4 linked regions of the Rhinolophus ferrumequinum genome follow. The protein of the gene in region 2 interacts with the protein of the main gene of each other region in a pairwise test. Links are inferred from orthologs where the notes say so. Each region holds a gene or a part of one and is shown on either strand. Other genes may lie near its edges. The genes, in order: WT1, HMBOX1, C14H8orf33 and ASB7.

Evidence for each region.
Region 1: the proteins of HMBOX1 (region 2) and WT1 interact in binary tests that used the Homo sapiens proteins (3 or more experiments, as listed by UniProt). The link is inferred for Rhinolophus ferrumequinum from reciprocal best matches to the Homo sapiens genes HMBOX1 and WT1.
Region 3: the proteins of HMBOX1 (region 2) and C14H8orf33 interact in binary tests that used the Homo sapiens proteins (3 or more experiments, as listed by UniProt). The two-hybrid records come from large-scale screens. The link is inferred for Rhinolophus ferrumequinum from reciprocal best matches to the Homo sapiens genes HMBOX1 and C8orf33.
Region 4: the proteins of HMBOX1 (region 2) and ASB7 interact in binary tests that used the Homo sapiens proteins (3 or more experiments, as listed by UniProt). The two-hybrid records come from large-scale screens. The link is inferred for Rhinolophus ferrumequinum from reciprocal best matches to the Homo sapiens genes HMBOX1 and ASB7.

Annotation. Positions count from the first base shown.
Region 1 is NC_046294.1:25,032,253-25,039,667, forward strand, and holds the start of WT1 (Wilms tumor protein), read left to right. Parts: upstream 1-4,400; 5' UTR 4,401-4,779; coding exon 4,780-5,221; intron 5,222-7,415. UniProt on the Homo sapiens protein: Transcription factor that plays an important role in cellular development and cell survival. Recognizes and binds to the DNA sequence 5'-GCG(T/G)GGGCG-3'. Regulates the expression of numerous target genes, including EPO.
Region 2 is NC_046301.1:29,851,773-29,859,462, forward strand, and holds the start of HMBOX1 (homeobox-containing protein 1), read left to right. Parts: upstream 1-4,684; 5' UTR 4,685-4,969; intron 4,970-7,690. Other genes in the region: INTS9 (integrator complex subunit 9), read right to left, coding at 4,175-4,183. UniProt on the Homo sapiens protein: Binds directly to 5'-TTAGGG-3' repeats in telomeric DNA. Associates with the telomerase complex at sites of active telomere processing and positively regulates telomere elongation.
Region 3 is NC_046297.1:73,371,249-73,377,863, reverse strand, and holds C14H8orf33 (UPF0488 protein C8orf33 homolog), read right to left. Parts: upstream 2,462-6,615; coding exon 2,456-2,461; intron 2,368-2,455; coding exon 2,322-2,367; intron 2,223-2,321; coding exon 2,041-2,222; intron 1,847-2,040; coding exon 1,762-1,846; intron 1,620-1,761; coding exon 1,473-1,619; intron 1,105-1,472; coding exon 965-1,104; 3' UTR 507-964; downstream 1-506. Other genes in the region: ZNF16 (zinc finger protein 16), read left to right, coding at 2,460-2,773.
Region 4 is NC_046311.1:12,375,643-12,383,568, reverse strand, and holds the start of ASB7 (ankyrin repeat and SOCS box protein 7), read right to left. Parts: upstream 3,016-7,926; 5' UTR 2,506-3,015; intron 2,338-2,505; 5' UTR 2,243-2,337; intron 1-2,242. UniProt on the Homo sapiens protein: Probable substrate-recognition component of a SCF-like ECS (Elongin-Cullin-SOCS-box protein) E3 ubiquitin-protein ligase complex which mediates the ubiquitination and subsequent proteasomal degradation of target proteins.

The sequences.
Region 1 (7,415 bases), on a different chromosome or scaffold from region 2:
CTGGGGTCAGGAGTTCTAATTGTAACCTCAGACTGGAATTCCAGATGGTGCGCTCAGGACTGGAAGCAACTCTCAGTTCATCAATTTCATGGGCCTACGTATCTGCTCTGGCCACGGCCAGGCCTCCATCCCCACTGTGGCATTAATGCAGAACAAATTGAGACATATCCTCTATATAATTAGTTCCAGAATTTAAAAAGATTTACGATATAATAATAGAGGCAGCGCTGCAGAATCCTTTCATTGGGGACTCTCTGGGAGCTCCGGGACCATTTCGCGGTGGCATCAGAACAGACGGGTAACCCTGACGGTTCCAGGCACCGCGAGCTGGGGGACAGGGGGAAATTTTGCACTGCGCACCTGGTAGTGCACACCCATCCTGGACCCCCAAACCCGGTCAGAGAATTAAGTTTGAAACGTCGATGGGGAGGATTGGTCAAAAGAAAGAGTTAATTTTCAAATTAACAGCGGAAGCGGGGTGGGGAGGTGGGGGTGGACTATAACAAAAGTCCCTCCTTTATTATTATTAGTTATTATTATTTTTTTAATTTAAAGAAGTGTAGCTGGGATTTCTACCACTAGCACGGTGTTGGAAAGCAGCCTAAGCGCCTGACCAGCGGCCCGGGGTAGGGGTAGACAGATTCTTAAGAGCTGGAGTCTGGAGTCGGAGGGGAGGAGAGGAGCAGCGGTCAGGCTATTGGAGCTGCGCGTGGATCTCAGGGCGCTGGCCCCTGCACTAGGCACCATAAAAGTCCCTGTTCCTCCCGGCGCGGGCAGGCGACCCCAGCTTTTTACAGATCGCAGCGCGTCGGTGTGTTTACTCAGTTGTCTGCAAACGGGGGTGACGCCCGTAGCGCAGCCGGGTAGTACTCGCTAGTCTGTAGGGCCGCGGCTGCAGGGCCCTGCTCTGGGCTTGGTGGGCTGCAGTTGACAGCGCGGGGTCAAAGTGAAGAGTTTATAGGTCCTCACTGCCCCCTCCCACTCAGTCGCGATTTTTTTGATCTTGCAATAATTAAGCACCTTCCAGGCCAAGATGCGCTTTACCAGTGTATCAAAGCCACATGGGTTTCCAGCCTCTCTCTCTTTCTCTTTCTCCCCCTCCCTTCCCTTCCCTCCTCTCCCCTTCCTTCCTTTATTCTCCATTCCGTTAGCTCGAGAGAGGCAGAGGGGTGGTGGTGGTGGGTAAAGCCCTGAGCTGGACGTTAAGAGACCTGGGTTTTCAGCTTGGCTTTGCCACTAACTTGCTAGTATTTTTGAACAATAATAGTAACAAAAATTGTAACGTTTATTGTGTACATAGGCCAATACAATCGTCCTTCTAATCCTCACAACCCCATATGAGGTAGGCGCAAGCATCACATTATCCCGTTTGACCAATTAGGAAACTGAGGCTCAGAGAGGCTAGTTTAGGAAATCTAGGGTTACACCGCTGTTGGTTACCTGATAGAGATGATATTACATTCATTCTCTGGCTACTAATCCCTTGCTCTTAACCACTGCACTCTACAGCTGCCTTTCCTCCCTATGTCTGGGCCTCAGTTTCCTTCTCTGTAGAGTGAGGAAATGAATTTCCATTTCTGCCAATCCGTGAAGCAAATGATCCTGTGCGCCACAGGCTTTAGCGCTGATCCCACTGGGAAGGTGGGTGAGAGAAAGCAGCGGCCAGGTTTCCGCAGTCCCTGTTTCCCCCGGACCACGGGTGGGCCTCGACCTACAAGAGGTGCAGCAGGTGAACTTTCCTCGCGGCCAGACTGTCAGCCCCTCCGACCAGCTCAGCGAGCCGATGGTAGTGCGGCGGGCGCAGCCGCCTGTGTAACCGCAGAGCTCCCGCAGAGAATGTTACCCATGAAAGGGAGCAGTGGGGAGCGTGGGGCGCCCTGCAGCCGCAGTACTTTGCGGGTTCCCCGGCATTGGCGTAGGGGCTCCCAGGGTTGGGGATGGGTAGGGGGCGTTCAGAGACTTCCTCTAGGGTGAGGTCCTCGGACCTCCCGCGGCTCTGGACGAGCAGCATTTACTTCTTCGCGCTGAGGAACTCCTTGCAAGGAACTCCTCCCACCTCCTCGGACTACGAGGTCGAGGCGAGGGAGCACTCCAGGGTTGAAATGGGGATCTCTCCAGGATTTGCTCGACTCCCCTTTTCTCTTACCCCACCCCTGGGCAAAAACCTTTTTTCCCCCCAGTTATACGTAAAGGCAGAGAGTTAGGCGCCTTTGCCCTATCTATAATTCAAAAACACAAAAGCTCACATTCAAGCTATCCTCTTTCAAATACCACCCCCCTTAAAAAAATTTTGCAAAGGAGAAATCTCGACCTTTTCGTTTGGAAACAGATCCCTGGCTTTCCATAAAGCGGCTCGCTTTCCCTCGTAGAGCTTGAGAGAACACTAGTTAAGAAAAAACGACTTCAAAGTAGAAATAAAAGTGGGAGGTGTGAGACAGGGGTCTAAGGCGTTCTAGGGGCAACATGGCATGAGAAGTTTCGTCTCAGGGGACTTTCTCCATCAAAATGACTAATCGTGCACGTTCTCTGTCTAGCTCTGGATCCCCGCGGCCGGCTGAAATGAGGCCTGCGGGAGAGGAGTGGGTGGCCCACAGAGGGTGTAGTGGGGAGAAGGAACTGGCCTCTAGAGCCTTTTCATTTCTTCAAAAAGCTTGAGTGGAGACGAAGCAAAGCCAGACACTAAAGCAGCGCAGAGAGGTGTCCATGACTGCGAAGGTGAATGAGGGTGCAAGAAGGTAGCGGGTGTTCCCGGCCTTTGCGCTCATGGGACTCCTGCGCCCCCCGAAGGAGCGACCCCAAGAGGAGGGGATTGCGCTTAGCGTGTAGGTCCAGGGTCGGCACACGCTTTCGAGTTTGTAGCCAGAACACGCCGCTACTTCGTTTACTCAAGGCAAATTAACTAAAACCAAAGTGTAAGAAACCGTGAAGAAACCGTCTAGGCTTTCCAAACCGTGGCATTTTTGTAAAACTGCAACTACCTTGATTGTTGTTTCACATGGGCTAGGCTGGAAAGCTGTGGGCCCTATCCCCTGCCAGCCTGGTGTAGGAGACCTGGCGGCAACCGGTCGCTTTTTGCTCGGAGCTACTGGTGGTCCCAGGCTGCGCGGTCGCCGCTGCCTCCTGGCTCTCTTGGGCGTTTCCACGCGCCCCTGAAACGCACTCCAATCCGGATTCTTGGCGCTTCTCCTTGCCTAGCGTCAGTTTCCCGATAGATGCTATTTCTTTTTTTTGGGGGGGGGGACACAGAACCTCAAATACCTGCTCTGGGACCCCGGGCTCCCAAACAGTGACTAGGTGGAAGGAGGAGTCTGATTTGGCGATACCAGGCGCTTGGAGCTCCCAACCGTAAGAACACTGTGTGGGACCGTGGGCCTTTGGAGGCTCTCCTCCTCGGTCTGCCTAACCGACTTGCCTTCTGATCGGTCATTGTGAATCCAGAATGGTACTGCCAACCGTGGATGAAAGCAGAGCTCGGCAGGAGCGGCTCCAAAAGCCACCCTTCCCTGGGGGCTTTGTACCCAAACCCTGCCCACTCCCCAACCTGGGCGCCAGCATTCTCCGGCAGGAATATATGCAGGCTATAGGAGTTTCCCTGTGTTTTATTCCCTCCCAAACTAGCCGCTGTTTTCCTGGCTTCACCGTAGAAGAGTCAGATACTGTTAAGCAGAAAGGGAAGTTAAGTGCAGATGACACCGATTTTAGGTAGGCAGCAACCTCACCAAGTAATCAACTACCAGACGATCGAAATACGCCCGGCTTATCACAATTGATGCAATCCCTTCTGGTCATCCACGTTCACCTTGAGTCTGGCCTTCGGAACCCACAAGGGGCTTCCGCGCCCCCCCTCCGTGACCCCAAGATTATGACCACTACTCCAGCCCGATGGTTCTAGGCGCAAGAGCCGGACTCGCGCGCGCTGAGCAAGGGAATCCGCCTCTTTGGAGTCCGGGGAAGTTCTCTGCGCTTTCCTGAAGTTCCCGCCCTCGTGGAGCACCCCCTGCCCCTCCCTCCAACCCGCCCTCTCAGATTAACAACCCCATCCCTACCGCCGTCATACACGGATGCAGAGGGGCCATTCACTGCTCACCTGAAGAGACTCGTCAGTGGCTCGAGGCGCCCACACTCACGAAGGCCGAGAAGGGGAGGTAGGGGGAGGGTTGTGTCCCACAGGCCAGCTAAGAGCGCGTGGCGGTTGGAGAGGAGGGTGTCTCGGAGAGGGACGCTCCCTCAGGCCCGCCCTCCCACCCCCACTGCGAGGGCGCCCCAGAGGAGCCGCGCGCGCTGCCTGGACCCGCTTGGGCTACGGTGTGAATGGAGCGGCGGAGACTCCTGACTCCTCCTCCTCCCACGCCGCCGGCCCCTCTTATTTGAGCTTTGAGAAGCTGGGGGCAGCCAGGCAGCTGGGGTAAGGAGTTCAAGGCAGCGCCCACACCCGGGGGTTCTCCGCAACCTGACCGCCTGTCTGCTCCCCCCTTCCCACCCGCCCTCCCACTCATTCAGCCACCCAGAACCGGGACGGCAGCCCAGGAGCTCGGGCCCCGCCGCCTCCTCGCCGCGATCCTGGACTTCCTTCTGCCGCAGGACCCGGCTTCCACGTGTGCCCCGGAGCCGGCGTGTTCGCACACGGTCCGCTCCGGGCCTGGGTGTCTTCCGCAGTCCGAGCAGCCGGGGATCCGGGGCCCAAGTAGCATCTGGGCCAAGTTAGGAGCGACCGAGTGGAGCACCGAGAGTCTGCAAGGCCGGAGGGGCCGCGGGCCGTCCGGGGCCGAACTACAGCAAATGGGCTCCGACGTGCGGGACCTGAACGCGCTGCTGCCAGCTGTACCCTCGTTGGGTGGCGGCGGCGGCTGCGCCCTGCCTGTGAGCGGCGCCGCGCAGTGGGCACCCGTGCTGGACTTTGCGCCCCCGGGCGCCTCGGCTTACGGTTCTTTGGGCGGTCCTGCGCCGCCGCCGGCCCCGCCGCCACCCCCGCCACCGCCGCCTCACTCCTTCATCAAACAGGAGCCGAGCTGGGGCGGCGCGGAGCCGCACGAGGAGCAGTGCCTGAGCGCCTTCACTGTCCACTTCTCCGGCCAGTTCACCGGCACAGCTGGAGCCTGTCGCTACGGACCCTTCGGTCCTCCTCCTCCCAGCCAGGCGTCCTCCGGCCAGGCCAGGATGTTCCCCAACGCTCCCTACCTGCCCAGCTGCCTCGAGAGCCAGCCCGCTATTCGCAACCAGGGTAAGCAGGCCGGGGAGCGCCCCCTACACCGGGGGCGGTGGCGAAGGGGCTATTGCCGTGCCTGGGCACTACCCTGTCCAACCTCTTTCCTGACCCCAGCTCTTACCTGGCTGCCTCCCCAAGGACTGTGAGGGTAGCGGAAGCAGCAGCTGGGGAGAGAGGATTCCGGGGAGAGGGAGTACGCTCCAGCGTGGGATCCTGACTTTCTCGGGAATCCGACTGTTCGCACCAGCCGGGAGGTCATCTGGGGCCCCTCCGACCCTTGGAGATTCCGGTACTTCAAATCCCCGTTAGAGTGGGAAGGGGGAACTTGTGCAGTGTCTAGGTTCGTCTCAGAAGGGATTTTGTCGCTTCACCAAACTGTCACTAGGCATTGGACTTTTTAGGCGTTTCGACTCTGGATTCTGGAGTGGGACCCGCGCAGGGTGAGCAGCCCGTGCCGCCTCCCTCGCGCCAAAATGTGCAGGCGCCGCTCTGGCTCTTAACATTAGATGCTCGATAAGTATCATGGAGCACTAGAAGGAGTACATGAGCGGGCTAGCAACTAATCAGTGGCTTTCTTGGAACCACCTTGTGTCCGAGTATGGCTCCCCGTGTGGTTGTATGGCAGCAGATCTCTTTTTGGTTCCCGCTCAGGTGGTGGCCAAGCGGGCTCCAGGGCTGGAAGAGGACCCCATTTGTCCGATTACAAGCTGTGCGGGACCAGGTCCTATTATAGGCAAAGCAATGAGGCTCTAGCGTCAGGCGCCTCCTCATCGTTGAATGCGGGGCTCAGCCCGGGGAACGATTTTTGCAAGACTTGGGGGGTAGAACAAGGACAGGTTTATTTGTCGTTTTCAGTCTTTGTACATCGCGGGTCACAAACGTGAGTTTTCTCATCCTGCGCTGGCACCTGCACAGCTCTTTCTCAGGAACCAGCCAGGCCGAGCCCTTGCTGTTTGGTTTCGGAATTTATTCTAATTGGACTTTTCCGCTATTGAGAACGCAAACCAACTCCGGTTGATTCGATATTTTAGGAAATTCTTTACAGACACCATGGCAGATGCTTTTCCTGGAGCAAAATTTCGCACGGGCCTAGGGACCGGGATGTTTCTGGAATGCGTGGGATGGGAGAAGCAGAGTGCGTACTGTTTGCAATAGGTTCCGGGTCTCCCAAGGCACGGAAGAAGGTCTCTGTTCTTTACCAGGAAGCGCTCACCTTCTAAACTCGTATCTCCAGGCTGCCTGTCTCTACCTTAGGGCCAGCGAGGAGCACCTGGCCCACCAGAAGTCCTGGCAAAAGCTAAACCACCCTCCTCCTCTCTTCATCCAGGGAATCTGGGATCTGTGACCCATGGAGGAATCTTAAGCAGACCCATGGGGTTTCTCCACTGTAGGTCTCTGTAAATGAAATTAGTGTTTCAGATTCAAGGGGTGTTGGAACAGCCCAGTGCCCGTGGTGAGGCTTGTGTTCTCTTATCCTGCCACCTCTAATGAGCAGGCTGCTGTTACCTTTGGCAAATCTCAACGTCTCAGTTTCTCCATTTGTAAGAGAGGAGCTGTGATGGGCAACCCGGAAACTGGGTCTGGCCTGAATCTCTGTGCCATAGATGCAGAAGTCCAACTTTCCCTGGGCTTTGCCTTCTAAATACAGAACGCAGAGCAGTCCACCTAAACTTGACTGGCCTGCCTTCTGGCTAGGACTGGCAGGCAGGTGTGTGATGAGAGTGAGTCTCTCTATGGATGTGTGCTATGTGGAGAGGCCCGAGAAGTCATTTGATCGATGTACCCCCCTACCACAAAATACCGTGCCATTATTTATTTGAGTCTATCTAGGTACTGTGAAGATTTTGGAACCTGTGTTCTGTCGCTTTGTTTGGGCCCCTGTATCCAGTCTTCCACAGAACAGGTCTGGTGCCCAGGATCCCATTAACCCACAGTGGGGTGGGGTAGCGGACTGGAATTTTAACCAAAGCGCACACTACACTTAAGCGGAAAATCCAAATTCCTTTCTAGTAGATAGGCCCTGCAGCAAAAAAGAAAAAGGTTTGAGAACTGGGGACCAGGACTCACAGGTGAAGGAGTTCCCTCCTCTCCACCCTAAGGAAGAGCCCACTGGAGGGCTGGTCCCAGACTCAGAGCCACGGCCTGTAAACCTGGTTCTGTTTACAGGCTTAGGTTTTCTCTTGCAGTGAAAACATAAATGGGTCACTGG
Region 2 (7,690 bases):
AGGCAGTCAGGCTCATTCACTAAGGATTATCATTAATCTTAGAGTAGCATTGAAATTTGTGCCTCAACAAAATTACAAACAGTTCCTGGTCATCGATCTTTGGGGTCAAATATAATAGTTCAAATGGCAAGTATTGAAACTTTGAATGCCAAGGGTATATGGTGGCTGCATCTCTGTTGACCGAATAAACCAGAAGATTCTATCTTGGAACTATATATAGGAAGGATGACATGCTGCACTCTTGAACTGCTTCTCACTATTTTATTTACTTTAATCTTCATCTATTTGAATGACTAAATTCCTGGCCATGATGTTTCAAACTCAATTTCTGGCAATGCATTCACTATTTCTTTTGTTCCATGGTCTCTCGTGAAGGACCCTGATGAAATCCAGTTGCGATCCTTAGCTGAATTGGCCATCAGGGTATACCCAATCAGGCTCAATCTATACTAAAACAGAACAGGCTCTAAAATGTGCTAATTTAGAGGATACATTTCTAATTTTCCTGTTCTTTTTAAAACGATTTTGGTTCACTGAAGGTACCAATGAATTTTCTTCAGTTGAATAAAGCTGCTTGAATACCGCATATTACAGACGGTCATTTCAATCTTTTCAGTTGGTATTTCTCTAAGAAGGAGATATCCAAGGATTGCATTATAATGACATCCATTGTCTTCCCTTGGGTGTATAAAAAGCCACCAAGAGAACGATGTGTAAAGTTAGAGAACTATTAATGGTATCAGAGCTTATATATCGTATAGTATAAAAACTAACGTGGGAACTCAATTGGTATGCTTTGATATGGAACCCTTTATAGTACTAAGAAAGTTTTTTCCCAAACTTTAATTTTTTACCACTAATCTTTTTGAAGAGCTTAATTTAACCAAACTCCCATTTAAAGCCAATTTAAAAATAAATAGCCTTGAATAACCTTTTTCTCAGTACGCACTCTGGCTTCCCGTCTTTGAAGACAGAACCTACGGAGCACATGTCACGCACCATGCAAGGTCTCAAGTCTTTGCCCTCAGTAAGGAACAGACGCTTAAGGAAGGACACCTGGGTTCAGATCTTGGCTCTCCCACGTTTTTCACCTGTGTAACTTCAAGCCACTTCACCTCTCTGAGGCTCAGATTTTTATCTGTATAATGGGAATACGATCACCTAGATCAAAGGACTGAAAAGGGAAACTAATTAGTGAGTACCTCCAACAGTGCCTGGACACAGTAATTGCTCCATAAAGGGCAGCAATTTTTTTTTTTTACTCCAATGATTATAGCTTATTGTAATGTTTAAACTTTACCCCTCAATCTTTTCTCAGTGATATTCACAGACCTTGATAATCCTTCAGAGATGATTCATTCAACTGCTATTTAGCAGCGTCACACTATGTGTCAGGCCCTGGGAATAGAGAGTCTACAAGAGGGAGGACAGAAATAAATCCAATAATCACAAATGCTACCAAAGGAAGTGTGCCATGGAAGCAGAGAGGAGGGCGTACCTAATTCCACAAAACCATGGAGAAGTGCTATTCAAACAGAGACCTGAAGTATATAAAGAAATTTAGGCAGGCAGAAAAGTGTTGTAGGCAATGGAACATATTTAAACTCCCAGAGGCAAAAGACAGCAGGGAGAGTTCAAGGAACTGGAAGATGTGCAATATAATTGGAACACAGAGAACCAGGGAGATGAGGGCTAGACATGAGCCTGGAAGTAGGCAAGGCCATATTCTGCAGGACCAAGTAAGTCAAGAGCTATAAGACTTTATCCTAAGAACAAAGGAAGCTACTGAGGGAATTATAGAATTCTGCAATTTAAAACAACTTCCGGAAAGCAGGGTAGTGAATGAACTGGAGAGAGGGTTAAAATGGAACGCAGGGAGACTAGACAGAAGGTCTCGTTGAATTTCAAGTGTCAAGTGAAAAGAGTCCCTACAAAGGCAGTATTAGTGGGACTGGAGAGAAACAGACCTGTTGAAGAACAGAAGTAGCATCAACAAGATGCAGTCATACGCTGTGAGTGGGAAGGGTATTTTGGCAAGTCATAATCTCAAAAACAAGAATGTGCTCAATAAAGTATATTTCTGTGTTTCATGATATAAATGTAAAGCACTGCTTACAACATATTCTTGAAGCAGTACACAAAGTGAAAACATTTAGGCCATGGGAGGATTTATACCAACTCTATGGGAGGCGTGTCACACAAAGAGACGTCTAATGAAGTCCATCTTTTTGAAACCCGTTTGCTATGTTGACAGAAATTCTGCATTACCACTTATCCAATCCCAAATGAGTTTTAACATGGAATACATCGATTGAACGTTAAAAAGGAGGGACCATAGACAGAACACCTCCTCTTCCTCTGAGGCATCTTCTGGTTCTTACAGAAAAGAAAATAATTTCTACTTTTTTCCCTTCCATGTTTTCACATCTCTAAAGAAATGAAGCGGGAGGATATTATGAGCAAACCAAAGTATATTGAAAGTAAACCACGGCTCTCTGATAACCTCAGCAATCGAGTTTGTAGGGAAAAACTGCATCACATTTGCATGCCTTCTCACCAGGCACACCAAATGTGATTTATCCTTTCTTGAAGACACATGGTCTGTGCTCCAACCATTTCGGCACAAGCTCTTTTGCTCCTAAACTGAAGATTCAAGGAAGGCCCTCGGCTACTCATCCTTCTTATCAGTTCAAGAGTCACTTTTCCAGGAAGCTGACTGTTGGCACCACGCCCCCCCAGTCCCCGCTCAGCACCATCTCCAATTATCCTCTCAATTCCCCAACCCCTGAAAAGGACTCTGCTTTATCACGAATGCAGTGAATTATAATTTTGGCTTACTTTTCTAACTTCATTAGATGGCATGATTCTTTAGGGCTAGGGTGGTGACTTTCAATTCTGCATTCTTAGGTATTTAGCACACTGACCCAGGAGCAAATTGATAATCTCAGGGTTTCCTGATCTTCATCCTCTTCCTTCCATATAGGACTTTAAATGAAGACAATTTTGTAGTTGAATCTACTTTTAATACTTTTTCTAACTTCTTCTCAGAAAATAGCGACACAGTGACGACACTTGGCTGAGTAAATACATACCCATCACATGGTTTAATGGCCAAAGAGGGGATGAGGGGGATATGTATACTTTGGGAAAACATGTTCAAATAATTATATAAATGGAAAAAGAAAATAAATCTTTTGTTTTTCTATAAAAATCACAGAAAGTAAAGCTTGACAATATTTGGCTGCAGGAACATGATTTTAAAAGGTGTGGCATCTCACACATGCTTTGCTACTCTCCTAATTATGCTATTAATTCCACACAGTTGCAATAAATTAGTTAGGTCTGTGTGCACAATGACAGTAAAATGGCTAAAAAGAAAGGCCTGAGAAGCGTCCCTATAAGCCAGGTGTTTGAGTTTTGTGATGGGAAGACGCCAGGTGTATTGGCACGTTCGTCTAACCTTGGCTCATGAAGCGCCTACAGCCCCAGACTGTAATCTTTTTTTTTTTTAATTTGAAGATCTAATTGGCTTTATTAAGCGATTCATGAATCAGGCAGCCGTCTATCTAGCCACTAGCAGGGCGCTCCTGAATGTAATACGAGTACCTCCTCTCAGCCTATCCATATCCTCCACAGGGTTTAAGACTCAAAGCCTCTAAGAGTACACCCTAACCTCGGCCTTCTCTGACTTCCAAGTGCAATTAGGAATCAATTAGGAACAGAAAACTTAGTAATTACCCTCCTCCCAATATTACCCTTTGCCCACAAATAACCAAATGTTTCTCAACAACGGTAGTGAAATCAAGTGTCAATTGCGTGGAAATAAGTTTATAACCTATTATAACACTCACGTAGCAGCTGAGAAGTCAAAAACCTAGTTCATAAATCCAACCTTAGTTCCTCGGTGAAAAAATGTTACAGGCAACCTCTTATCTAACCAAAGGGACCCACCAAGGATGTGTAAGATCTCCTGATAGTTGTGTATGGGGGGTGGGAGGTGAGGGGTACAGAGGTGTGATTTTTAACCCCCTCAACAACAAACAGCTTTGCTTAGTCCACCCCACTTTCTAGTTTCCTAATTGCCACCCATTTTTCGCGATGGTTCCCTTCCCAAGGTGGAAACGACGAAGCCAAAAGGATATGGCCACTGCCCTCAGTAGGAGCGGAGACTCACCAGTTTCATATTGGACTTTTGATTGTTCAACACCAGTTACTCGACACCTCAAACCCAGAAGCGATCTTCCGGTTCAAGCTCCGCCACTCGCCCGCAGAGAGCATCGCGGGACATGCAGTTTTTCTTCCCTACGCCTCCTTCTCGGGGCATTATGGGATACGTAGTCATCCATGTATCATGGGAACTGTAGTTATCTTTTCTTTCCCTCCCTTCTCTAAATACCTCCTTCCGTCAGCTCAAATTCATCCCCGCCGCCAATTCATCCTCTCCACCCCAGCATGATATCATGTCCCGAGTCTGGGCCTGGGTCCCATGGTATTCTGGGATGTGTAGTTCTCACGGCTCGGGCGCCCCTTTCTCCTCCTCCCTGTGGGAAGGCGGATGGGCGCGGGACTTGCCGGGAGTTGTAGTTCCCTGGGGCCTCTGGACGCTGAGTCGCGCGCTTTTACTCAAGGGAGGCAGGAACTACAACTCCCAGGGCCGCCTGGCTGCAGCAGGTGGGAGCGGGGCTGTTGATATCAATATGGCGGTTGTCAGCCAGACAAAGACAGTCAGTCTGATGTGATTGAGACAAGGGAGGTTTTCAGGGGGAGACTGGGAGATAGGGGCCTCCCCTCCCCCTTCTCCTCTTCCTGCGCGGACCTCAACCCCTCCCCAGTCCCCTCCCGACAGGCGCCCCACGCGGAAGACACCCCTCCCCCTCCCGCCTTCCCCTCCTCCCTATCTCAGCTCTTCGTACCGGGACGTTGGGGAGGGGGCTGTGCCGAGCGGAGAGAACTCAGCAACGATTCCGAGGTGAGTCGAGAGGTTTTCAAGCCGGACTACCTCAAGTCTCTTTCCTCACTTCTTTCTCCTCACTTTTTTTTTTTTTTTTTGAGGGGCTTTGGGGCGAAAGTGAGTGGGCTGGGGATAGGTCTCTTAAGCGGCCCGATTGAGAGGAGGGAGGAATCAGGGGGCTCCCGAATGGTGACCCGGTCGCACCGTCTGGGGTGGGGCAGTTTGTGGGGGGCGGTAATTGAAAGGCGTTGGCAGCTCCCCAACTCTTTGCTCCTGGTCTCCTTCACTATGGGCGGAAGGTTTGAATCCTGGAGGTGGGGTCTCCTATGTGGAGTTTGGGAAACTGTGAGGTGAACCGGAGGTGGGTGGGTTTGTTTGGGGGTGTAGAACTGTTCTAAACTGTGTGACGTGTACTTGTGCGATATGTTAGTCTCGAATAAATGTCTGGAGATGGGAAGTTCGATAGCTGGAGCCATAGCTTTTCACTGGGCCTGGGCAGGGAAGCGGGCGTGAGGTCCGGATCCTGGACTTGTGGGCTGGAGGCGACGTGGTGCGGGCTTAGCAACTCGCTTGTGTCCCGTTGCTCGATCGCACTCCTCCTCCCCGCCTCCGCCCCATGCCCTGGACACATCTCCACCCCAAACTGCCCGCAGGAGCATTGTGGGGACGCGCTGGCGAGGAGATGGAATGTTGCCTCCTGAAGTCGGCAGATAAGGTGGGAAAGGAAAAAGTGTTCTTAATATTTTATTCCGGAACCGTGTTTTGGTGACACTGTTGGGGCTACTTTGAAAGGAGTCCTCCACCCACCCTCACCCCGAAACAGCAGGTAGAGGTAGCTCATCTTCTTCGCGTTAAATAGATTAAACATCACTTAAAAGAGTCGTGGGCATGGGTTGGGGGTCGGGAGTGCTGACAGGTGTAGGCATCTCTGTGTGTCTACGAAAGACACAGAATGACTGTTGTCTGTCCTGAGATAGGGCGACTTATTTTCGTAGTAGGGAAAACTGTTGGAAATTATTTGGAGGTGGGGGTGGGGTGGGGGTGGGGTGGGGGTGGGGGTGCGGGAGTCGCCGAAAGCCGCTGTTGGTGTTTTGCTTCTACCCCACCCTGTTCAGTCTCGCATTTGTCTGAAACCTGGTGTGGAAGAGTGAGGAGGCATTTGGTGAGTGAAGGGGAGAATGCAGTTGGCATGAAAGCTACTATACTATCTAAAGTTGAATCGTATAAAGTGATTGCTTTTTAAATGTACCTTGAAGCTGTAAAAACCCTCGTGTTTCATATGGCGTAGAGTGATGTGACTAGTTCATTTCGCTGGGATCCTGCAGGTATAGAGACCTCAGCCTTCCCTTTTCCTTTCCTCCTTCTTTCCTTCCTTCCTTCCTTCAGTCCTTCCTTCCTCTCTTGGCCTGGTACGTTTCTCTTCCTGGATGGACGTAATGCCTCTTGTGCCTGTTTAGTTTGTGCTAAGACGGTTGTGCTGTTTGTGGTTTTGTGTGTAAAACACATCATTAGATGAAAAGGACCTGCGTCTGTTTTTATTTTGCTTTTAGCCACAGGTAATTATCACATCAAGATGAGAGTGTTTTGCATTAAACTTATTTTAACATTGCACAACTAAGTTAGATTTAGTTGAATTATGTGTACAAGACAAGTTTGGAAAATTCGAATTCTGATTTTTTCCCCCCAAGTTTCCAGTAGAGTTATAAAGGGAACAGGATTGTAACATCTCTTGTTTCTCACAGTCTTTAATATTTGGTAACATTACACCAGGATAATTTAGGATCATATATTTTGTACTTCTTTCTGTCTGAAATAGAAGTTTTTCAGTAACCTTTCTCATGTGACAGATTTTTTAGTGCAATGGACTTTTAAATAACTAAAGCAATTGATATAATTTCTCATTCAACTGTTGAAAATTTAGTGTGTTTACATTTTGGCTCCAAACATCAATTCTTGAACTTATCAGTAAAGGACCTTCGATTCCATAAAAACTGAAAGTCACAGAGATGCAATATATAATTTATGGTGTGTTTTATAACCTTTCATTTGAAATTTCTGCAGTTGATCATTCACACAGATAAGCTGACTCTAAGCATGAGATAGCATATATATTTAGATTGACCTGAATAGAAAAAAAAAATTGATGTCTTCTAAATTTCGAATTTCTAATATAGAATATATTGCTATAAAGCTGAGCCTTTAGTTTGTTAAAGACTAAGATTTCCAGACTTTTTAAACCTTCTATCTTAGACTGTAATATTACTTTGCAAAAATTGGAGAAAAATCCTACATAACTTCACAATAGAGTGGTTTTTTTTTTTTTTTTTTTCCGGGCTGAAAGATACTCTGTTAGACATAGAACATTAAAATATTCAATAATTATATTAGAAATATAAACTAAAATGTTTGTTAAGGATTGGAAAAGATAAGAGTATTTTTTCTTCCACCCACCTTTACCTCAGTTTCTTTTTGTTTTTTTCTGTGGAAATGCAAAGTTATGGGAAAAGCTTTCGTTCAACTTTCTCTGTCTAGTCGTCTGGTTGAAATAATTAAAAGTAAACCAAATATTTTCCTTGCATTTGTTGGGATGATTCTGTTGTATTTTAAGCCCTGAGCATTAAAATGATGTAAAGCCTTTACTGCAGGTTAAAGCATAAAACATTCTCAGCATGTGGAAGTCATATGGTTTACGAAAAAAGTAGAAAATCAGGGCATTGGTGCCTGTCCAGCTGAAGATTT
Region 3 (6,615 bases), on a different chromosome or scaffold from region 2:
CTGGGCAGTAGTACCGGCCCCTGAAAAGCAGACAACGAAGGGGGATTTGGGGCTCATCCCGTGTTCTCAACGATGCCTATGAAACGTCAAAGTAGAGCTGTACAGTGCACAGCTGGGCTCCAGCTATCTGTCTGGTCTGGGATATGCCAGCAAATATGGCCTGCAAGCCACAGGAGGCTTAAGCCACCTGGGAAAGCCGATTCAATAAAGCACAAGCCCTGTACGGCCACGTGGAGCAGCCAATATTCAGAGGTCGTTCACTGAGGCTCCATCCAGGCTTCTCGCCAGGATCCTTAGGGCTAGCAGCTCTCTGCTTCTAAGAACAAAGCCTGGCCGGCTGGGGGGCCACACTGGCTCCCTGAGGATACTTGCCCAGGAATGAAGGCAACACAGACCAAGCACCACAGCTGGGCTGAGCGCCTGGGCCCAGCAGTGCCAGACACCTGCATCATCTGTACTTGGTCTAACACAGGCAATTAGCACACACGCTCATTCATCAATTTTTACAACAAAACAGTTTTATTAGGGCAATATGACACAAAGGAATAAAGCACTACCCCATTTGACAGGACGGCCTTTCATAAGTGAGCACCAAAGTGCAATTATGCAGCTTCCCCTCACCCTCAGCCACTTAATCTAACCCTGAAAACTAAGTAAGACGTTCTTTCCACCACACACTGCCACTCACTTCAGTTTGCTGTAGAAATCTCTCTAGATGGACCTTCCTCTCGGGCGGGAGGAACCATTCACCTGAAATCCTACTAATAGGGTCTTGTGCTTGTATGACACTACTTAATACACTGGTCTCACATCTGCCCACCATCCATGGAACCACATTCACCGACCAGCCGGGGAGAGGCCAATCCCACATCCGTCCAACGGAGCATTCCTGGAAATGCTCCGCACGGGGGACAAAGCCCCACACCACCTGGGGAAGGGGACTGTACCAGGATGGAGAGAGAGGCTAAAAGAAATTGAACTTAAACTCTTCATCAGGAGTGTCCAGGGTTGCTTTGGCTCCCCCTGCTAGGCGAGGCCTGCAAACCCTCCGGCTCTTCTTTCTGGTGGCCTCACCTACAGGCTGCACCTGGGCTGAGTGTGCTGCTGTGGGGGAGGGGAGCGTGTCAGAACTGAGTGATAACAGCTCATGTTAACTATGCCCCTACGACGGTAACCTCTTTGTATAAATTCACTGACCTACTTCTCAAAATTATAAGGCAGGTATTATCACACCTCACTTAACATCACAGAGAAATTCACTAACTCTCCTATCCCTCCCTCCTTGGCACAGGCCCGAGTTCTGTGCTCCTGAGGTGCAGGCTTTCTCTCCCTGCTCCCCCAGGCTTTCCTGAGCCGGTCTCCTTCCCTCACCGGCCCTGTAGCTCTGGGAGTCTTCCTTTAACTGCCTCACCTCTTCCTCCCTACCCCCTTGAACTACGCAGCCCTGAATTAACCAGTTCCCAGCTCCTCACCAGTCCTGAGAGCCCGCAGGACCTCGCGCCACTCGGCTTCCATCTTAGTCCTGTAGTCCCCAAACAAGGAGCGCATCAGCTGCCTCTTCCGGGGCAGGGGTGTTCTTTCGCTGCGCAGGGCTCGGATTGCCCCAATAGCTTGCTCCCCTGCCGACAAAAACAAAGGACTAGGGACCTCCTCTATCCTCATTTCCAACGCAAAACCACCTATTCCAACCCTTGGCGGCACTGGCAGGACACAGCACTGTCACCGTTCACCTTCCCCCAACTCTACAGAAGGGTTCCTCACTCTGTTTTGGGCTGGGTCTCTGCGTCTTGAGGCCCAGTTCCAACTGCTCCACGCACCAGGCCAGTTCTCGAGCCAGCTGCTCCGCCTGTGATGGGTTGGGGACAGTGGCTGAGAGGGTACTAGGACACTGCGGCCTCCACCCTCATCGCAAGGGACCCAAAAACCCCCATCCCATCCCTCTGCCGTAACTCCGCAAATCCGAGACCACAACCGCTTGGAGGACTCGCACCTAGAATGCACCCGGGGACCCCACCCTTCCCGACTGAGCACTGCCCTTGCCTGGGCCTCTGCGCTTAGAGGAGCTTCCTCCGGGGCATGCTTTTCTGAGGCCTTTCCGTCTCCATTCGACACGGAGGCCCCGTTCCGGGTTTTCTTCTTCTTCTTCGGCTTCTTAGAAGCTGCGCCGCCTTCACCGACTACGGGATGCGCCCTGGAGGCGGCGTCACTGCACGTGGGGTGCCCTGAGCAGAGACGGACCGGATGAGACCTTAGAGTGGAAGGACTCGGGGCGCCGGACGGCGGCCGGGAGGCCCGGGGGCTGCGCGGCGCGCGGGCGGTACCTGGACCTGGTGCCGCCGCTGTCTCCCAAGCAGGGTGTCCTAGGGCCTGGAGAGAGGGAGGCAACAAGAAGGTCACGGGGTACAGCCCAGGCCCGGAGGCCCAGCCACCCGCGCCCCCACTCTGCTCCGCTCACCGCCATGCCCCGCGGCCGCACCGGAACTCATGCGGGTCCCAGGCCTAGTTCGCTCCTCCAGAAGCGCGTCCGCGTCGCAGCGTTCCGCCGGCGCGGTGGGCGGGGCCGAGCGGCTGCGGGGCGGGACGGGACGCGGGAGGGCGCAAAGGAGACCCCCGAGCAGGTGTACCACGTGGCAGGCCGCGCCCTGGAGGAAAGGGCAGCGCCCGAAACGAGGGCGCGGGCTCCCAAAGCTCACCTCCCAGTGGAGCGAGACAGGCAGGTGAAGACACGTGAAAAGTTGTCACGCAGCCCCGCGCAGCGCTGTGAACACAGGCGGTGAGTCGGCATCCCTCCGGGGCAAGCACTACCAGAGTGATAAGCTTAATGATAAATACCATGGAATCTAAAGGGAGGTTTGAATAAAGGGAGAGACAGTCTGCATTACTGTATTGGAAGATTTCATATTGTAAAACCACTGATTTTCCTCAAGCTAAGCCTATATATAATCCTTACCAAAATCACAGTAAGACGGCCTGGCACTTTTAAAAAAGGACTTCCCGAGGCAACAGATGGCAGGCCTGGTGGGGCTGGTCCCCGGCGAGAAGGAGGTGGGGGCAGGGCCCTGGGTGCTTTTATTCCGAGCGAGGTGGCGGGCGCAGTGAACTAACGCAGCCTCCCACTGTCTCTGCAGAGTCGGTGCTCGGGACACAGGCGCACAGAGAGCTTTGGGTGTTGGCCCAGCGTCACTGCTGGCCAGGACTGACCTGGGATGGTCCCTGGCAAACTGGCCGGACTCCCCATGCCCTTTTCTTCCTTTTTAGAAACACTCTATTAAGGTATGGTTAGCGAGAATGTTCTGTACACATCGAAAGTGTACAGTTCGGTCGCATTCTCACACGTGCATGCTCATGAGACATTGTCCACTGCAATCAAGATAGAAACGGTTACCCATAAGTTTTCTCGTGTCTCTTTTTTTTTTTTTTTGAAATTCTTGCACTTTTTACTATTAGAGAGTTCTAAGACATTACAAAAGTATTTTTCTTTTTAACCCACATAAGAATTATAATATGCAGAAGAGATGAGAGATTTTTCTTATACAGGCACATAACTGTGCCTCAAACTGTAATTGCTTTTAAATTTATGTTATTATCGCTCTAAAAAGAAAACAAGAAGAGAATCCTGTGAAACTCATAAGACATCCCAGGTGCTTTCAAATGATTCCATTTCACACAGGAACTTCTAAGCAAGCACACTATCGTGTGTGGGTGGGTATCATTTATTCACTCCTCTTCTTCATCTTGTAGACCGGGTGAAGTTAGCTAGAGAAGATCTCGGGAAGAGCACTCATGAATGGAGAAGCATATAGCTGAGTCTATGCATTTTTCTTTTCATTGTCAAATTAGCTGGTCTCTGTACATTGATAAGAAGACTCATCATAAAAATAAAAAATACAAAAAAGAATTGTTGAGATCTCATTTGTTTGCCACACGGAAGTGGTGCAATAGCTCTCAAAGTAAACCACACTTCTTTGAACAGTCTTGTGCAAAAGCTGTGTGGCTCTTCTCACATTCTAATGACAAACCTCAGAGAACTGCCAGCTGTGTTTTCTACAAAGGTTAATCTCCTGCCTCTTTATAATCCCTCCCTCTCACCCCTTCCCTCTTCTGTCCTGAAGCAAGTACTGACCTGCTTTCTATCACTGTAGATTACATCTTGTAGTTTCATCTCACCGGAATTACAGCGTGTGGATTCTTTTTTGTCTGGCTTTTTTTGATTCGACACAATTATTTTCAGATTCATCCGCGTTGGGTGTCGATAATTCTTTTTTTTTTTTTTTAATTCTGATTAGTATTCTGTTGTATGAATGAATATACCACTATTTGTTTATCCATTCTTTGATTGACATCTGGATAGCTATCAGTTTTTAATTGACACAAATAAAGCTGCTGTGAACATCTGTGTACAAATCTTTGGATAACCATACGTTTCCTTTTTTCTTGGATAAATAACTAGGAGTGGAATGGCTGGATTATATGGTAGGTGCATATTCACCTTTTTAGAGCAAGGCCTGATTGTTTGCCACAGTGCTTTTGCCATTTCACGTTCCACGTCCTCACAAACACTTGGGGTGGTCAGTCCTTTTCATTTTAGCTGCTCTGGTAGAGGGGCAGTCGCATCTGTTGTGGTTTTGATTTGAATTTCCCAAACAAGGAGATGTTAAAATTCTTTTCATGTGCTGATTTTCCTTCTTTCTCTTCATTGGTGAAGAGTCTGTGCAGATCTCTGCTGATTCTTTAGCTGGGTTTTTGTTTTCTGACTGAGTTTTAAGGAGTTCCTTTCTGAATACAGGAATGTTCTAGATACAGGTCTTTTGTCAGGTACATGTTTGTGTAGATTTTCTCCCACTCTGTGCTTTGTCTTTTTATTCTCTCAACAGTGTCTTTTGAAGAGAAGACGTTTTAATTTTTTTCCAAACAGTTTTATTTATTTAAGTGTGTATTTCAAGGACCCGTCAGCTCCAAGTCAAGTAGTTGTTTCAGTCAAGTTGTGGAGGGTGCAGCTCACAGTGGCCCATGTGGGAATCAAACCAGCAACCTTGTTGTTAAGAGCACCACGCTCTAACCAACTGAGCAAGTCGACTGCCCCGACGTTTTAATATTCGATCAAGGCCAGTTTATCAGTTTGTTCTTTTATGGATTGTGCTTTTGGTGTCCTATCTAGGAAACCTTTGCCTAACTCAGAAGATTTTCTTCTTCTAGAAGAAAATTTTATAATTTAAAAGTTTTAGGTGATATGTTTAAGTCTGCAATTCGTAATGAGTTGACTTTTGTATCTAATGTAAAGCATGGATTCAAGTTTAATTTTTTTACAGGTGGATGTCTGGTTGTTCCAACACAATTTCTTAAAAAGACTATCGTTTCTCCACTTGCCTTGTCTTTGTGCTTTTGTCAAAAATCAGTTGTCCATCTCTGCGTGGGTTTATTTCTGGACTCTGTTCTGTTCCATTGGTACACTGTGGACAATGTCTTTAACTCCACATTGTTTTGACTACTGAGACTTTATTAAAACTCTTAAAATCAGGCAGTATTAGGCCTCCCTCCAACTTTATTCTATACCCTTAGAGTAATTTTGGCTACTGTAGGTCCTTTGCATTTCCATATGAATTTTAAACTCAGCTTGTTGGTTTCTGTGTGGCCACATAATGGAACTCTCACCAGTGCAATGTGAGTGGAACCATGTGGCCAGGCCAGAGCCTCCACTCGGAGTCTGACGACAGACATGTCCGTGAGACTAGTGTCAGACACACTGCTCCAGAGGACAGCAGAGAACAGGACAGAAAATCAGCCTCCGAACAAGCAAGTCAAACAGAACCCACCAAACAGGGACCCTGCCACATGAGGAAAACAAACTTCTATCTCATCAAGCCCATGCATTTGGGGTCTATGACACACATGGGGAAAACCCTACGAATGTTATGAATGTGGAAAATCATTTAGCCTGAACTGAAGCCTTACTGTTCATCAGAGAATTCACAGTGGAGAGAAACCCTATAGGTGTAATGAATGTGGAAAAGCCTTTAATCGGCGCCCACAAGTTATTGAACATAAGAGGATTCACACTGGAGAGAAACCTTATGTCTGCAGTGACTGTGGAAAGTCATTCAGTGCTTGTCTATCCCTTATTCAGCATCAGAGAATCCATACTGGAGAAAAACCTTATGGATGTCATGAGTGGAAAAACCTTCCATCAACAAGGACATCTTATTCAGCATCAGCGAAATCACACTGGAGAGAAGCCCTATGAGTGTAAGGAGTGTGGAAAGGCTCTCAGCCATAGTTTTAATCTTATTCTCCATCGAAAAACACACAATGGTGAGAAGCCCTATCAATGTAACGAGTATGAATAAGCCTTCAGCGTGCTCTCGTCCCTTGTCCAGCATCAGAGGGTACATAATGGAGAGAAGCCCAATGAGTGTCATAAATGTGGGAAGGCCTTTAGTCAGGGCTCACACCTAATTCACATCAGAAGACTAACACTGGTGAAAAGCCCTATGAGTGTCGTGAGTGTGGGGAAACCTTTGGACAGATCTCTACCCAAATTAAGCATGAGAGAACACAATGGAGAGAAGCCCTATGGATGCAGTGACTGTGGGAAAGCCTTCAGCCAGAGTGCACACC
Region 4 (7,926 bases), on a different chromosome or scaffold from region 2:
AAACTTTATCTGACTTTAGACATTTTAGGGATAGTATGTACTTCTGTGTTACCAAAGTTAAATGTAACAAAATAGATATTGTTCGTGTCCTAATAGTAAGTAATTGTGAACCGTGTCACTTTAGGTATAAAGAAAATAATTATTGGCCATAGCACATTCAAAATGCATCACTGACTATCTTCAATTAAAATCAGTTATGTTCCCTATGTAATTATAAATCTATATTTGGTTATCAAATTCATCAGGTGGTTTGATTTTTTTTTTTTTTTTTTGGCTTTCAATACCATGTGGCTGGCAATAGAATTAACACAAAGTTAAGTGCCAGGTTGAAAAACATAAACCACCTAACTGGCCATGTTGGTAAATAAGTACCCAAATTAAATATTTTAAATGTTTGGCATAACCTAGACCAGCTATTCTTAATCATGCTAATATTGGAAACAGATGCTGACAACTTAGATATATATTCCCTAATCTCAGGAAAAGCATTAAAAGCTGAGAGAATCAATGAAATATCATTTAAGCAATGAGAATGAACTGGCTGGGGGAACACTCTCTTTACCTTATATGCTTGACTCACCACAGACCTACTCCCTATCATCTCAGGTGATGATACCTCGCAGACAGGAAAATATACTAGACGGAAATCTAAAGCAGACAAAATATTTAACAAAGAAGGACTGAATAGAAACTACATACTTCGCTTTTACCTTCAAAACACACTTCAAATATTTTAGCATTTTTTAAAAGGCCTAATCATTAGGCTGCATTTGGGTGAGTCACATACTTAAATAATGAAAATTGCCTTTAACTTTATAGACTTCAGCCTCGCTTTTACTGAGATGAAGTGGACCCTACATACACTTATCAAGGCTGGCCTATAATTCACTGTGGGACAGCCATTGGTAGACACTCATTTTCAACCCCTTTCAGTAGCACACACTCTCCTTTGGTTATCTGGTTTCAGGTCTCAAGAATATACAAGCCCTCAGAGCCCCTTAAAAGTATCTTTAACTATGTCTTGACAATTAGAAGAATCATGGAAGACGTTAATTTCTTTTTACGCAAGGCAGGAAGACCAGTGGAACAGAGTAAATCTAAGATTTCCTAACAACTTCTGCTATTTTAAGTACGTCTTTGTACCTAAAATTCCCTAAACAATCTGAGATATTAAAATAACTCTGAGATTAACAAGTCACTTTATACTCATGTTACTGGATGTTAGAAGTCATTCACTCGGCTAATTTCTGAATTAACTCATATAATTTCCCTAATATCCCCTCTTTAGAAATTACACGAATGTCCTAAACTTACCTTTAGTGTATTTTCAGAGGCAGCAACAACATATAGTAGTAGAAATGTGATCACACGAATTAGATGCTTACATTTCAATCTAACAAATTCTCTGTAAGGGTTTTGAAATGAGAAATCTTATTTATGAAGAGTGCAAAGAGAAAGCCTTAGGTTCTAAACACACTGAAACATTCCTTTGTTTTTAAATTCTTGAGTGTCAAATGAGTAACAAGATATTATGTAAAGTTTTGTAAGTTTTTCTAGAAAATCTGAGGTGCAACATACTATTTATCTTTTTGTAACAGTTTCAACGCCCATCTACATCTGTCACATTGAAACACACAAAAGCCTGAAGTGTTAATTACACATAAGTGCTTCAGGGAGACTACTGCTTTCATAGGATTAGATTCACTTTCCACTACGAAAAAGTCATATTATTTTCCAAAACTCATAAATTTCAGGTCATTACTGTACCTTCCTCTCCCAAACCCTTGTCAGTCAGGGAACTCAAAAGATATTCTGATGGAGGTAGAGGAAAGGTGACAGGAAGGATTAAGGGGAAAACAGAAAACTGGGATTTAATTAAAAAGCAGACTCATTTAGAATTAACAAGCAATTAAGAAGGAATTGAGGAATTCCTATGAGAGTAAAGGGGGGAACTACAAAAAGGTCTCAAAGTCTCAGAGCAGGGTAAATGGTGCAGTGTACCAAAAAGATAATGCAAAACACGGAAACACTATACAAATAGAAAGGAAGAAAATACGTTTTGGGGGTTGAGAAGTTACTAAAATGTTAAGAATCAGGGCGAAGGCAGCGTTTTTGTTTTTGCTGAGAAACTGGGGGCCAGGAAAGGGTTGCATGCCCAGGTAACCACCCTGAAAACAGAGCGCTGCTTAAGGAGGTAGGGGCCGAGAATAAACAACGGGGCAGGGCAGGGCTGGCTTGTTACCTTTATAGAGAATGATGGTCAGAAGCTCTCTTCTACTTCTCTGGTGGGTGGGCAGACCTCCTCCTGCTCTCTGGACTCCTCTAGCCAACTCAAACCTGGAAATCAGAAACCTGTGAGTGGTGCAGTGCCCGTGGGGCGGGGAGGAGGGGGCTTTGGGGAAGGGAGAGCAAAGGAAGAGAGTGGTACAGGCAGGCAGGAAGAAGCAGTGATTCTCCTCCCGCCCAGCCAGCCCCCTTCCCCTCGGGGAACATAACTGACTTTACCTGTCTCCTCAGCTGCTGCTTCTCTTCTTCCTTTCAGCCTCCTCCACACGCACCAACTTCTCCATTGAAGAAGCACCCCAAAGCAGGGCCGGACACGGGTGTTGCTGACCCTCCTCGGTGGCTCACGGCCCCAACCCCGCGAGCATCCAGACAGCTGAGCAGACGCGGAGAGGCAGTCCTGGCCGCGGGGCAGCCTCGGGGCAGGGGTGCAGGGAGGAAGTCCCGGCTCGGGTTGGGGGGGGGCAGTCCGGGTCTGAGGGCTCGGAGCAGGGGGCTGCCGCGCTCTGGGCCGGAGGCTCCCAGCTACCGGGTAACACGGGAGGTCTCGGAGCAGCGAGGTCCCGGGTCGTAAAGGGTCCGAAGTGTCAGCCGCGGGGGATCCAGGTAGGGGGCTTTCGGGATGCACTTTGCACTGGGCCACCCCCGCCCCCTCCCTCCAGCACTTTGGGGTCACTGGGATGGACCAAGCCTTCAGCAGCCAATCAGCGGCCGCACTAGAGCCTGAGCCTAGAGCCGTAAACCAGGTCCGGGGTGGGTGGAGGTGGGGGGTGGGGCGACTTGGTTGGTTGGTTGCTTCCTTCTCTCCTCCTTCCCCCTGGCAGCCCCCACCCCTTGCCTGCCGTAAAGCCGCCTGCGCATTCGCGACAGTGAGAGGAGGCGTGCCGATCGAGGCTGGGATTCATCTCCGATTGGCCTCCCTCACTTCCCCGTTGGCTTCCCCCCCGTGTCTTCCGATGCTCCGCCCCAGGCGGAGGGACTCAAAGCGGTTGCTAAGAGACACTGCACGCTCAATAGGGCCTCTGCGCATGCGGGAGGCGGGGCCAGCGTGAACTACGGTGGCCGGAGGGGGTCGGGCTTCGTTCGAATGGCGATGCGAAGGCAGAGTGGCTGGAGCGCCATGGAGCCCTGGCAGGTAACTGGGAGCTGCCCCTGAGCTCGGCGGCGGGGGAGGCGTGTGTGCGGCCGACTGAGAGAACGGCCCGAGGGTTCCAGGTGGAGGAGGCGGCAGTCGCCAGGACGCGAAGAGAGGGGGCGCCTCGTCCCGCCGCCCCTCGGCGCTTTTCGGTGGCGGGATGCTTGGCTTGGCTTTGGATTCCTTAGGCCCGTTAGCCAGCAGGCTGGGCGTACCCCCGCCTCACGTGGAAGAGAGGGCTGTTTGGGGGGGATGGCGGGGACGTTTCAAGGGCTTTTCTACGCGGAGAGCGGTTCGCACGGATTCCTGGGAGTGAAGGGGAAAGAGTGCAAGACGTGCGAGATGGACCCGTTTGCTGAGCGCGTTTCTTCATTTTAGCAAGTGGTTACGGGTCGGGCACTGTTCTGGTGAACCAGGTAAGTGCGGTGACTTGTCCCTGTGGACCTTTCACTTTAACCGGGGAGACAGAAAAGCGCACAATTAGCAGACAGAGGGGGAGGCTGTCCAAAAAATATCAAGCAGAAATAATGGGATGGAGTTTGACCCGGACGTGATGGCCACTGTGGATAGTGTCAGCAAAGGTGTCTGAGCAAGGGACAGTTGAGTAGGCATCTGAATGCGGAGGAGCCGGCCATGTCAAGATCGGGGGGGGGGGGGGGATTTTGCAGGCAGAGGGAACCAAAAGTACAAAACCTCTGACGCTGGAATACCCTTTGCCGTTTGTTTATAGGAACTGCAAGAAAGAAGGCCAGGCCAGGGTATTGAAGCGGAGGGGGGAAGGGGGACCATGGATGGGGATGCACTTGGGGGGGTGGGGTAGGACGAAGAGCTTCGATGCAGGACCTTGGAGGCCGTGGTAGGGAAGTTATAGCATCTTCTGTATGTTTTGAAAGCATCCCTGACTGCTCAAAGGAAAAGACTGGCGGGGAGCTGGGTGACTGCAACTATGGAAGGCTATTGTCCAGGCAAGACTCAGCCGTCCGACACCCCAGACATTTGGCTGCCACCAACGTTTTCAAAGAAAATTATGTCATTTCTAATTATATAAAAGAAGTGATTTCAACGTATCAGCTGCTTTTATGTAATAAAATATGTTGTTCTGTGGAAGATGGGGACCACTACAAACACTTTCAGTTTGCCCCGTGGTATATATTTTTTTACACTGTTAACTCATTTGTTCAAGAATACTCATTTGGGTGCCTCCCATGGGAGCTACCTGTTGGCTACGTAAGCAAGCTCAGTCCTGCCCCAGGAAGCTCACAGTCAAGTGTGAACCAAACTAGAAAATACCTTTGGACAGTGCGGTGAGATCAATACTGTGGGATAGGCTGAGAGAGCAATTGGCAGGGCCCTCAAACCCTGCTTGGATCTATGGAAGGCTCCATGGGGACTGGAGGTTTCCAAGTTGAAGGTTGAGAGTAGGAGGGAGACAACTGGGTATGATTTAGTCAGAAAGAATGGACTCTAAGCAAAGCACTGGGAAAGAACTCCGAGAAAGTCTGGAGCTTAGTTTTGGGGGCACTGAGGTGAGAAGACCCCAAGAGTCAGATCTTGAAGGGCCCGCTAAGCTGTGTTCAGAGGTTTGGATTTTATCCAAGGAAAGTGCAGAGGTTTTTTTCAGAAGAAAGTGGGTGTTGAGTAGGCCAAGAAATAACCACTTAGGCAAGGAATCTGCTGCAGTGTCCAGGGTAGATGTGCACTAAATAGTGGCTGTGCAGGTGGAGAGAGGTGGCATGAGGAAGGGTCCAGGAGGCCGTCTGGGTTTCTAGCTTGGGTGACTAGGAGATACAGATGCCATATACTGAGATACGGGCAGTGTAGGAGAAAACACGTTTAAGAGGCCATAGAACGAGTTGAGTTTGAGCTGAAGGTGCTTGTGGGACCCCCGAGTGGAACTCTCCAGGGGCGTTTAGATGCTTGAGTATAGAGACCAGAAGACAGACCCTAACTGGATTCTGAGGTTGTTAGCTTGGAGATTATTGTAACATTGTAATGTAGTGTGGAATCAGGAAGCTGGTGCCTCCAGCTTTATTCTTTCTCAAGGTTGCTTTGGCTACTCAGGGTGTTTTGTGGTTCCATGGAAATTTTAGGCTCATTTGCTCTATTTCTGTGAAAAATGCCATCGGAATTTTGGTAGGGATTGCATTGACTCTGTAGATTGCTTTGGGTAATACGGACATTTTAACAATATTAACTCCTCCGATCCATGAACAGGGACTATCTTTCTATTTATTTGTGTCTTTTTCAACTTGTTTCATTAAAATCTTATTCTATACAGGTCTTTCACCTGCTTTGTTAAATTTATTCATAGGTATTTTATCCTTTTTGATGCAATTGTAAATGAGTAAATAAGATTAAGATTGTTTTCTTAATTTCTCTTTCTGACATTGTTTGTGTATAGAAACACAACAGATTTTTGTATATTGCCTTTGTATCCTGCCACTTGACTGAATTTGTTTATTCTAACAGTTTTTTGGTGGTCTTTAGGGTTTTCTGTATATAATATGTCATCTGCATATAGTAACAGTTTTACTTCTTTTCTTTCTAATTTGGATGCCTTTTATTTCTTTTTCTTGCCTAATTGCTCTGGCTAGGATTTCCAATACTATGTTGAGTAGAAGTAGTGAGAGTGGGTACGTTTTTCTTGTTCCTGATCTTAAAGGAAAAGCTTTCAGTTTTTCACAATTGAGTGTGGTGTCAGCAGCAGGCTTGTCGTGTAGGACCTTTGTTATGTTCAGGCATGTTCCCTCCTTAACCACTTTGTTGAGAGTTTTTCTGATAAACATGTCGAATTTGCTCAGATGCTTTTTTTCTGCGTCTGTAGAGATGATCATATGCTTTTTATCCTTCATTTTGTTAATGAGGTGTATCACATGCACAGATTTGGGGATGTTGAACCATCTTTGCATCCCTGGAATAAGTCCCACTTGATCATGGTGTATGATCCTTTTAACACATTGGGTTACAAACCTGAATTAGGTTTGCTAATATTTCATTGAGAATTTTTTTGTGTATGTTCATCAGATAATATTGGCCTGTAATTTTCTTTTCTTGTGGTGTCTTTGTCTGCTTTTGGTATCCGGGTAATGCTGACCTTGTAAAATGAGTTTGGAAGCATTCCTTCCTCCTCTGGTTTTTTTTTTTTTGGAAGAGTTTGAGAAGGATTAGTATCATTTTTTTTTCTTTAAGTGTTTGGTAGAATTCACACTGAAACTATCTGGTCCTGGACTTTTGAGTGTTGGGAGGTTTTTGATTACGGATTCAATCTTAGTAGTAATCTGTTCATTCAGCTATTCTATTTTTTCATGATTCGGTCTTGAGAATGTTCCTAGGACCTTATTTCTTCAAGGCTGTCCAGTGTGTTGGCCCAGAAAACCATATTTAAGCTTAAAAGAAAAGGAAAAGTAGGTGGAAGAGCTTTCTAGGCAGAGGGAACAGCATTGTCTCAAGGTCCAGAGTCAGAAAGGAACCTTTCAGAGTGAATAAAGGAGTATTGGCATCCTCTCACTTAAGTTGTATAAAGGTTTTCACCATAAAAGCCCTGCGCTTTCTCAAATCTTTTAGTGTGTGCTACTTTGCTGAGGTGGGGTAGGTAACCTTATTTTTCAACTGGAAATCAAATCTGTTTTGTGTGTACAGTATTCAGAATTCAAAAATTAAGTAAAATGTCACATTTATAGACATTTGGTGGGGTTTTTTTGGTGGGGGGGCGGGGTGGGCAGGAGGAGGAATGGAAGGGGCCTCGATTGGTGAAAGGGAATGGGTGCAGAAACATTTTATTCTGAAGCCTCACTTAAAATGTAGAACCATATTTTAACAACTAAGAGTAGAAACGTTTTAGTTTTTTTGTTGATACACTAGAGATTTTCTATTTTTTAAACAAATTCTTAGCATTCATGAAAAACCAAATGAGCTCAGAATGAGCTCAGATTCCTCATCGGTAAAATTGAGATTGGTCAGTGGTTGTCAAAGTGTAGTTCCCAGTCCAATTTTTGGGCCCTCCCCGGACCCACCGAATTACAATTTCTGGGTCTGGGCTTCCTATCGTGTTCTTTGAGAACCACTGGTCTAGATCATCTCTGAGCTCTTTTTCTGGTACTAAGATGCTCTGATTGTAATGCCCAGCACCTGTCTGTACTAGTACGTAAACAAGTTTGTGTTTGTCTTTGTCTTAACAGCGCTGTCTGGGAAAGATACATGTGAGTTGTTCTGTTGATCAGGTTTGTGTTAAATGCTGCTATCCTTCCGTTATGCCCGCTTTCTGCAAACAAAATTACTTCATTACTTGTCTAAACGAATCCAGGCTGCTTGTGAATGTATCCCCAAGCCTGGCTTTGATTCCTGCATCCGGGCCAATGAAAGGCCAGCTAGGATCCCGAATCGAGTTGTTGAGATGAATGTGACGTCTTATGCAATTTCCCACCTTTGAGATTGTGCCCTGCCCTCCTTTCAGTAAGCAGGTGCTTACTGCATTTCTTTTGGAGAATCTGGCACTGCAGCATTGTTTT